Linked DNA regions of Arabidopsis thaliana. The protein of the gene in region 1 interacts with the protein of each later gene in a pairwise test. Each region holds a gene or a part of one and is shown on either strand. Other genes may lie near its edges.

Region 1 (5,613 bases):
TAATTCAATAAGTCAAATCTTATTGTGTCTTGGTGTGCACTGTAAAGTAAAGTCCTGTCTGCTTCAAACGCAGCATAAGCAAACTTACAACTTAAATCCTCAGCCGTTGATCCAAAGACCAAAATCCAATTATCAACGTTACCTAATGTAGACGATAAAATCTCTTAAAATGGGCCCGTAAAGCCCAAGCAAAAAAACAATTACTTTAAGTGGAAGCTCACTTTTCGCCACCCTTATTAACGTCTGTCCATACGTCATAACAGATGACGTCATCATCATATTCCTTTTTTCACACGTGGCATTGAAGCACCTTCCTAGTATCTACCCTGAAATTGCTTGACATAAGTAGTAGTTGTTTAATAATCTTTATCTCTTAATTATCCTCTTTTCTTAACAAAAACTTGTTACAATAATTTTCATTTTTATATAAATAACTGACCATTATAACTCTTTCTCTTCTCTTCTTCACTTGCTCTAGTTCTTGGATGCTTTAAACCTCTCTCTCTCTCTCTCTCAATTATTTTTTTTTCTATTTCAAAAACAAAAAAAAATGAATATCTCTCAAAACCCTAGCCCTAATTTTACGTACTTCTCCGATGAAAACTTTATTAATCCGTTTATGGATAACAACGATTTCTCAAATTTGATGTTCTTTGACATAGATGAAGGAGGTAACAATGGATTAATCGAGGAAGAGATCTCATCTCCGACAAGCATCGTTTCGTCGGAGACATTTACCGGGGAAAGCGGCGGATCCGGCAGCGCAACAACGTTGAGTAAAAAGGAATCAACGTGAGTTCCTTTTTAATTATTATTGTTGGCAAGATTCTTAACCAAGCAATTAGTATTTCATTATATATAGTTTTATTCATTAATCTTTTTGATAATAAATATTGTAGTAATAGAGGAAGTAAAGAGAGTGATCAGACGAAGGAGACGGGTCATCGAGTTGCATTTAGAACGAGATCGAAGATTGATGTGATGGATGATGGTTTTAAATGGAGGAAGTATGGCAAGAAATCTGTCAAAAACAACATTAACAAGAGGTAACTTATTCATTTACAAATTACTCATTTGATCTAATTAATATGTTTTACTAGTACTTGTTTTTAACATAACATATGGTTGCTTGATAATTTTCTATAACCATCTTGTAATCCTGTTGTTATAGAATATATAGCCACTAGCTAGCTAGACCATATAGTGATTTGAATACTATTTAATGGACCCGTATTATCTACCAACCCACTTGGAATAAAATTTAGCTTCTATATACATCATGCATGTGTGTTTTGTTTATACAAATATATAAAAGGTTCCTATAGCAAAATTGATTGATTAGTGGTATATGGATCAATGAATCCATGGTTGATAATCAGTCATCGTATAGATTTATTTTGACTCATATATCATAAGAGAAACAAATATAATGAATTCATCATCTAAACATATCACTTTCATTCAAAGCATGGTTTGAAAGCAATTTACACACTCTGTAATTGGTTAATGATATTCTTATATATATACATACATATATATATATATATATATATATATATAACTTGGTGCGATATATTATAAAAGTGATTACAATTTAACATGTGGTGGATGAATTTATAATATAAAGGAATTACTACAAATGCTCAAGTGAAGGTTGCTCGGTGAAGAAGAGGGTAGAGAGAGATGGTGACGATGCAGCTTATGTAATTACAACATATGAAGGAGTCCATAACCATGAGAGTCTCTCTAATGTCTATTACAATGAAATGGTTTTATCTTATGATCATGATAACTGGAACCAACACTCTCTTCTTCGATCTTAATCCAAATCTCTCATCCTCGTTGAGATTGTAAGATACCAACAATATTAATATTATAATCTCAATGCTTTGTATAATTTGATAGGTGTATAATAAAGGAGTTACTTATTTCGTGGTTATAAATGTTTAATGTATGTATATTGCTATGAGTACATTTTGTAGGTCACTGACTCACTAGATATAAAATCTTAAGCGTATATTTATTTAAAAAGTAGTGTTGAATTTTTTTGGGTCACGGTTGTCCAAAATACTGCGATCTGAATCCAATCCTTATTTGATTAGACTCAAGAATGATTTAGAAAAACCTGAATTACTTGTATTCTTATATCCATTATTAAACCGACATTTGACCCGAAATGCGTCAGACTAAGATTGTACCGGGAAGGAAATGTGAAAAAAGCAACTTGTAAAAAAAGCCTGTGTGACAGCTCTGTAACTTGTAAGCGTCAACGAGGTCAACTGTTTCGGTTTAGTTGTTACCGGTAATTTGGTTTATAATGGATTTTGATCGGTGTGATTTATGATCCGGTTTTGGTGCGTTGTGTAGATTGTCCCGAACCGATCTCATCTTCTACCTTTCAACAACTTAAGCAAGGAAACGAAGTCGTTTCATATCTGTTCTTCCGCCCAAATCTCAAACACTAGTAAGTAAATTCGAAGGGAGTCTTGGATCTCTCTGATCTCGATCCAGATTCTCTCTACTTCTCTTATCTTCGATAGAGAAATTTGTATCTTCAGATTTATTCGAGGAGGAAGACGAACCCTACTTGATTGATTTAGGAGGTGGAGAGATCTTTCTGAACAAGTTTGATTCTGTTGGTAATTGATCTGAAATCCTAGGTTTTAGCCGTAGATCTGCTGCTTGTTTCGATCGATTTGGGATACCGTAGGTATTGATTCCATAGAATTTCTCGCTCGAGGAAGGTGAAGAATCTGCCCAGATTCCGGAGATTTTTAGTTAGTCTTGGTGTGCTTGTTGCTTCGGTAATGTTAGATCATAAAAGTCTTCCATTGTGAGGAATCGGAGGTTGCTAAGAGTGTTTGTGGAAGCTGCTTCTTCTGGTATTGGATTAGAATCGGGACTATGGAAGTTGATTGAAACAGTGTTAGTTTTCTTATTTTGATACCTAATCTGCTCTTGTTAAGCAAAAATGAAGTTTTGGAGGGAACGTGAAAGGGAAAATAAGGAGCAGATCTTAGCGCCATTATGTGGGCAAGTTCGAGTGTTGGTAGTTGGTGACTCAGGTACTATAACAAGTTATAGTTTCATGTAGATCGTTAGATTTGATTACCTATTTTATGGTATCAAACCAAGTTAGAAATGTTACCATTCTTTTGTAGTTTTGCTGAATCGGGGTACTTCTGCTAAACCTAGATCATGTGTGACTCAGGAAGATAGATTCTCTGCACTGAATTAGACCATTTGGTTAGGAGTTATTGTTATGTGGTCGTTGAGCTACATCTTTTAGATCAAACCTGAGACTCTAGTTTGTTTAGTCGACAGTGTTTTCCTTAGAGTCTGTCACGTACTGTGTTTGCTTTTGCTCATGATAATTGAGTTAATTTTCATCTCTGAATTTCAAATCTTTTTGGTAGGTGTTGGAAAAACATCACTTGTACACCTCATCAACAAAGGTTCTTCTATTGTTCGCCCACCTCAAACGATTGGATGCACTGTTGGTGTCAAGGTAACTTAAACGTCTCTGTTGTTCTTCAAATGGTTAGGGAACTCAAGTTTCAACCCTTTTTTATTCTTCTCACATTTCAGCACATAACCTACGGGAGTCCAGCTAGTTCTTCAAGTAGCATTCAAGGTGACTCAGAGAGAGATTTCTTTGTTGAACTCTGGGATGTATCAGGGCATGAGAGATACAAAGATTGCCGGTCACTGTTCTATTCACAAATCAATGGTCTCTCCCAACCTATCCACATTGTTGATCCTTATTGTGTCTGAAACAATGTCATAAAGCGAGACATTTCCTATGCAGGAGTTATTTTTGTTCACGATCTCTCTCAAAGAAGAACAAAAACGAGCTTGCAGAAATGGGCATCTGAGGTTGCAGCGACTGGGACTTTTTCAGCTCCTCTTCCCTCGGGAGGTCCCGGTGGTCTTCCTGTTCCATACATTGTAGTTGGCAACAAAGCAGATATTGCTGCAAAAGAAGGAACAAAAGGAAGCAGTGGAAATCTTGTTGATGCAGCTCGTCATTGGGTTGAGAAGCAAGGTTTGCTTCCTTCTTCAAGTGAGGATCTCCCTCTCTTTGAAAGCTTTCCTGGTAATGGCGGTCTCATAGCGGTAAGTAAACCATATTAGTAAGTATTAGCTTCTGTATTAGTATTTAGTGGGTGCTTTTGATTATATGATCTAATGTGGGTTTTTACATAGGCTGCCAAAGAAACCAGATACGATAAGGAAGCTTTGAACAAATTTTTCCGGATGGTTAGTGTCATTACCACACCTTTCTTTTCTTGTCAGATTTCTAAGACACCCTTCCCTAACCGAGAAGAACATTTTCGGAACTTTTACAGTTGATAAGAAGAAGATATTTCTCAGATGAACTGCCAGCAGCTTCACCATGGTCTATTTCGCCGGTTCCAACGTCATCATCGCAACGGTTAGACGAGATTACAAGTGATGATGATCAATTTTACAAGCGAACAAGGTAACAACAATGCTAAAAAGCCAAGTCTTTTTCCTTCTTTGTTGGGTTTGGTCTTTACGGTTGATTGTTGCAGTTTCCATGGAGATCCATACAAGTACAACAACACAATACCACCACTTCCAGCACAACGCAACCTAACTCCGCCTCCCACGCTCTATCCGCAACAACCAGTGTCCACCCCTGATAACTACACCATTCCGAGATACTCTCTTTCCAGTGTACAAGAAACAACCAACAATGGCAGTGCCAGGTCAAAGCGAATGGATATTAACGTCTGAAGTCTCTCATCTCTTGTTAGCTCTTCTCATTCCAAGAAAACTTTATGTTGCTTTTGGATCTCTATTATTCTTTTTGATTCTTCTTTGTAGGTTGGTAAAGTGAATATGTGTGCTTAACCCCTCTTTGATTTGTACATTGTGGGGTTTGATCTTATAGCAAATTCTTTGAATGTTTTTTTTTCTTGGGTTATCATGTATTACACACTGAATGATTACAAAATCACAATAATGTTTGTTATTTTTGTTTACAATCTAATCATATCAGTTTGTATAAATTTCATGTTATTTATGTTTCAAAATCTTCTTCCACATTACAATTATGATAAATTGGAATATTAATTAATTTGAAATAAACCATTTATTCCTTGGAATTAAATGGAGATAGAGTTACAGAGGTACGACAACTTCAGTTCATAGCATCGAGAGAAGGCAAGGAAGGTATGTAACTTTTTCTTGCCCTCGTAGTTCCATTTTCATTGAAACTTCTTCTCTTTGAACCCTCTGGATTCTAGGCTACTACAATCAGCTGAAAAAAACCCTAATTCAGTCTCTCTTTCTCGTCGTGCAAAAACCCTAAACCCTGGGAATTGTGAGATCGATCTCATGTTTCAGTAACTTGTTAAATCTGTACCTCTTTCTGTTGATTTAGATTTAGATTTCTGTTTTCAATTCCGTTTCTGTTCCGAAATTGTTCAAGGTGAAAAATTCAACCTCAAAGGAAAGGTTGGATTTTTAATTTCAATTACGACGATATCAGATTGTTATCTTCCTTAAAAATTCAACCTTTGTTTTGAACTTGTGTTCCAGATCAATTTTGTTTGCAATGCGCAGTGTAAAATTCAAGTCTTAAAG
Region 2 (5,080 bases), on another chromosome or scaffold:
CTCTCGATCTGCTTGCCATCAACTTGTCATTGCTCGTGACTCCTTTGCTCTTTTTCATTAATTACTTTTTAGTCTTAAAGGCATCTCCAACCATAACACTATTTTGGTGCTGAAATAACACTATATTTGGTGTAGATTCAACACTAAAATATTTTCAATCTCCAACCACAACACTATATATCACACTAAAAATAATATTTTCTATTATTATATTATTAAACCAAATATTATTTTTAATATTTAATATTTTTAATTTATTGATTAATACAAATTACAATCTATATATCAAAATAGCTTTAAATTTTGTAAGTTTATATTTTCAATGGTTAATTGAATTTTATTATGTAATTTCAATAAATCTTTTGTTATAATTTTTATATCTTCTACTGATTAATATTTCATAATCATATTATCAAAATTAAAAATACATAAATAGTTTTGATATTTTTTTTTTTTACTTACAAAATTCAATTAAATTATTAGATGACAATACAAATCATATTTAATATGCTATACCTAAATAAGCTATATTCATATGTAATAATTTTAAAGTAAAAAAAAATATATATTTAATTTTACCGTTGCTACAGTAGCACGCCAAATATAGTGGAGTACTGTACAAAATAAAGGAATCACACTATTATAGTGTAATATTTACAGTTGGGTTGGAGTGAAAAAGTATATTGCATCACATCAAAATACAGTTTTACCGTTACGTTGGAGATGGCCTAAGTATAGTAATTAGAATAAGTATGCTTTTTTTGTGTGTGTGACAACAATTAGAATAAGTATGCTATTCTTTGACATTTATACCATCTGTTACCCAACCAATAAAAATATTCGTACCACTGCTAAATAGAACACATCTTTGATTCCAAGTTTCTTATAACGTACAACACAATTTGTGTGTTTGTCTACACATGCCTTTTATTATCCGACACTAATAAATATTTTGTAGTAGTACTATCCACATTCCACACTTGCCTTTATCTCTATATATTTGTGTAGTACTATCAACATTCCACACTTGCCTTATTCTCTCTATATATGGTGTACTTAAGTATATATATCAACTAACACACGTTGTGTAATATGTCTAATTTTGTGTTTATATGACTTCAATAACACTACAAGTTAACGAAGGACTCAATTCGTCCTACTCCGACCACAATAGTTGGGACCCAAATTAGTTGAAACAATATATTTCATCTTTATCAAAGTAATTTTTAAATTCCATGTAGAAGTTATTCACAACCAATAATAAACCACATTATATGTTACAAATTTTAACATTTTTATACGTATTTGCGATTACATGTAGGTTATCTACAATTTTTGGTTATCTATGATTTCTATAATGTAATTAGGTTATTGATCCTTTTTTTTTTACTGTGTCTTAGTCTTACTGGATGTGAATACTATAGCAGAATTAATTTTAATTTAAAACATTTTAAATTGATTTTTGGTATTGGAATATTGTAATATAGCGTTGACGGGGACAGTGAACTAAGCACATACGTGTGCATTTTTCTTTAAAGAAATATCAATATTGTGCAACGATCGAACCGGATTAATACCACAATGTTCTTTTACCTCAAACAGTAGTGAATTAATGTTGGACATGAATTTAGAAATCCCGTTTCAATAGCATTTGAATAAGCTAAGTAGTGATCTTACACTAACATATATTAATAAGCTAAGCACTTTAATATTTCAGGTTTGATCCGACTTTTTCTTGCACTAACGATACTGCCTTAATTCAATCTTTGTTTACGTATGCACATCAAAATTATTTAAAAAAAACATTCAGATGTTCGACAGAAAAAAAAACCCCAAAAGAAAAAACTAAAGGAGGCATGATATTTACCAAATGCCAAACACAATTGAATATCCTTCAAAACAAGACTTTTCGATTTCGTGTCCTCCAAATAAAAATCAAAGACTTTTCTTTAGTTTATAAACCCCAAAAAGAGATCAACAACGAATTTTCTTACGGCCATAAATGCTTCTACATTAACAAACAAACAAGATCTCTATGCTTATATTCATTGACTATTCACATTTTTATATAATTGAAAGAAATAAACTTTATGCCAAAAACAGCTCTATCATTATCTCATGGGGTGATTTTGATAATAATAAAATAATAAAACATTCCACCAAACCCAATCTTTGTAAAACTATGAAACAGCTGTTCTGTTCTGATTCGTACTTGCTTCATCAACCTTTTTGTAATCAAAAGCTAAATCGTATAATCACAAATCCCTCAGAAACTGTTCGTTTTTTGTTATCGTTTACGCGTTTTTAATCGCTAATCAGTTATATAAAAAATCGACGAAAGGTTTGACGAATCGTCGTCGTCGTAAATCCCCACCGGGTCAATCGACTCGTTTACTTTTCTACGGTCTTCTCTCCTCAAAGAGTCTCTCTCTCTCTCTCTGATATTTCCGCAGCAATAATGGTATAGATAGAGATACAGAAGCAGACAAATTATTGCTGCTTGAAATTCTCTTGTCTGATTAAAATATATATACCCAAGTCCAGAAGCTGTTTAGGTTCGAGAAGCAGAGAGGGTTCGAGAAGCTAATAAGGGTTTCTTCTTTTTGATTTTAATGCTAAAAGGGTTCTAGATTCGTTGAATTTTACAAGGGTTTTAGGGGTTCTTAGAAGCTTTTGCTTGATTGTCTTTTATTTAGAAACAGTGGTGAGTTTTTAGTCTTTCACTTTGTTCAAGTTCGAAGCTTTTTTTGGAGGGAATTTTGGGCTTCTGATTTTGATCGAAACTTACTGATAGTAAGTTCTTTGAGTCCTCCTTAACTGTAGTTTCTGTGTACTGAAGTTATTGAATTGAAAGTTTTTATCTTTTTTGGTTATTGAAACTTTCATAGTTTGATCAAAAGAGTCTCTTGCTCTGTTTTTGGCTCTGTTTTTGTGAGTGTGATTGTAAGCTTTGTTGTGAGTAGATTGAATCAAGGAGTGTGAGAGTTGTTAAAAGTGTTTTCAGAGATGGATGAGAATAATCATGGAGTTTCATCAAGCTCACTTCCACCTTTCCTCACCAAAACATATGAGATGGTTGATGATTCTTCATCCGATTCTATCGTCTCTTGGAGTCAGAGCAATAAGAGTTTCATCGTTTGGAATCCGCCGGAGTTTTCTAGAGATCTTCTTCCGAGATTCTTCAAGCACAATAACTTCTCTAGCTTTATCCGCCAGCTTAACACATATGTAAGTGTTTTCATGCTTTGTTTAAAAGTATTGACTAAATCAATCATCTTCTTAGTGGAATTTGTTTTTGTGTGTAGGGTTTTAGAAAAGCTGATCCTGAGCAATGGGAATTTGCGAATGATGATTTTGTGAGAGGTCAACCTCATCTTATGAAGAACATTCATAGACGCAAACCAGTTCATAGCCACTCTTTACCGAATCTTCAAGCTCAGTTAAACCCGTTGACGGATTCAGAACGAGTGAGAATGAATAATCAGATTGAGAGATTGACAAAAGAGAAAGAAGGATTGCTTGAAGAGTTACATAAACAAGACGAGGAACGAGAAGTGTTTGAGATGCAAGTGAAAGAACTTAAAGAACGATTACAACACATGGAGAAGCGTCAGAAAACAATGGTTTCGTTTGTTTCTCAAGTATTGGAAAAGCCAGGGCTTGCTTTGAACCTATCGCCGTGTGTTCCCGAAACAAACGAGAGGAAAAGAAGGTTCCCTAGGATCGAGTTCTTTCCCGATGAACCGATGTTGGAAGAGAACAAAACTTGTGTTGTTGTGAGAGAGGAAGGTTCTACAAGCCCTTCTTCACACACAAGAGAGCATCAAGTGGAACAGTTAGAGTCATCGATAGCGATTTGGGAGAATCTTGTATCGGATTCTTGTGAGAGTATGTTACAATCAAGAAGTATGATGACACTTGATGTGGATGAATCATCTACTTTTCCAGAGAGCCCTCCTCTTTCTTGCATACAGTTAAGTGTCGATTCACGTCTCAAATCTCCTCCTTCTCCAAGGATCATCGATATGAACTGTGAGCCCGATGGTTCGAAAGAACAGAACACTGTTGCTGCTCCTCCTCCTCCTCCAGTAGCAGGAGCGAATGATGGCTTCTGGCAGCAGTTTTTCTCAGAGAATCCTGGCTCAACCGAGCAACGGGAAGTTCAATTAGAGAGGAAAGACGATAAAGATAAAGCCGGAGTACGTACTGAGAAATGTTGGTGGAATTCGAGAAATGTTAATGCAATTACAGAACAGCTTGGACATCTGACTTCTTCAGAGAGAAGTTGATATGTCAAAGATTAAATTTCTAGTCTGTTTTAGTTACTTGTAAAATAGGGTTTCTCAGTTTTATTGTTTTCGATTACAGTACTTAGGTATGGTTCAGCTGTTTATTTATCACTTGTATGATCTTTCACAGTTCATTGTAGCAGACTTCAATGGTAATGATAAGCTAGAGCTTATGGATAGTATTCATAAAATGAGATTGACCTTCAACAAAATCATAATTTCCAAAGTCCTATATGATGTTGTAGACTTTTATCAGTATACCATTCAATAATTTATGAAGAACACGTCGGAAACAAACAAAGAAAAAAAAAGAAAAGTTACAAGAGACTTATAACGAGTACTATGCCAAATCAAAGAATAATTATTACATCCTTTTTAAGGGATTTTACAGAAAGCAGAAAGCCAAAGAAGCAACTGTTGCACAAACAAAAACATTAAACATAATCTCAAAGAAAACTAATAAATACAAACTTTAATGGTAATGACAAGCTAGAGCTTCTTATGGATATTATTCATAAAATAAGATTGACCTCCAACAAACTCATAATTTGCAGAGTCGAACCTCTTGTTCCTTTACTTCCTTGGCCTTCTTCATTTTCTTTCTCATATCCGACATTTCCTCAATTTGCAACTTAAACAATTCTCCTGCCTCCGCCATTTTTTTCTCTCTGGCATCCTGTTTACGTAGTTGATCATTCTTCTTTTTATCATTGCTTATAATGATTTCCACAAGGTGACGTTGACCCCGGACAAAATTATCATTTGCAAATTCCCATTTCTTTGGATTAATT

Evidence for each region.
Region 2: the proteins of LIP1 (region 1) and HSF A4A interact in binary tests that used the Arabidopsis thaliana proteins (3 or more experiments, as listed by UniProt).

Annotation. Positions count from the first base shown.
Region 1 is NC_003076.8:25,907,865-25,913,477, forward strand, and holds LIP1 (Ras-related small GTP-binding family protein), read left to right. Parts: upstream 1-2,150; 5' UTR 2,151-2,259; intron 2,260-2,273; exon of another isoform or gene 2,274-2,367; 5' UTR 2,368-2,882; exon of another isoform or gene 2,883-2,966; 5' UTR 2,967-2,971; coding exon 2,972-3,065; intron 3,066-3,416; coding exon 3,417-3,508; intron 3,509-3,588; coding exon 3,589-3,730; intron 3,731-3,808; coding exon 3,809-4,116; intron 4,117-4,206; coding exon 4,207-4,260; intron 4,261-4,349; coding exon 4,350-4,483; intron 4,484-4,556; coding exon 4,557-4,761; 3' UTR 4,762-5,032; downstream 5,033-5,613. Other genes in the region: WRKY51 (WRKY DNA-binding protein 51), read left to right, coding at 551-792, 900-1,046, 1,628-1,823. UniProt on the Arabidopsis thaliana protein: Functional small GTPase that acts as a negative factor controlling the light-dependent period shortening of circadian rhythms and light-induced phase resetting during the subjective night. May protect the clock from excessive or mistimed light.
Region 2 is NC_003075.7:10,346,978-10,352,057, reverse strand, and holds HSF A4A (heat shock transcription factor A4A), read left to right. Parts: upstream 1-2,155; 5' UTR 2,156-3,006; coding exon 3,007-3,228; intron 3,229-3,305; coding exon 3,306-4,289; 3' UTR 4,290-4,579; downstream 4,580-5,080. Other genes in the region: AT4G18870 (E2F/DP family winged-helix DNA-binding domain-containing protein), read right to left, coding at 4,831-5,080. UniProt on the Arabidopsis thaliana protein: Transcriptional activator that specifically binds DNA sequence 5'-AGAAnnTTCT-3' known as heat shock promoter elements (HSE).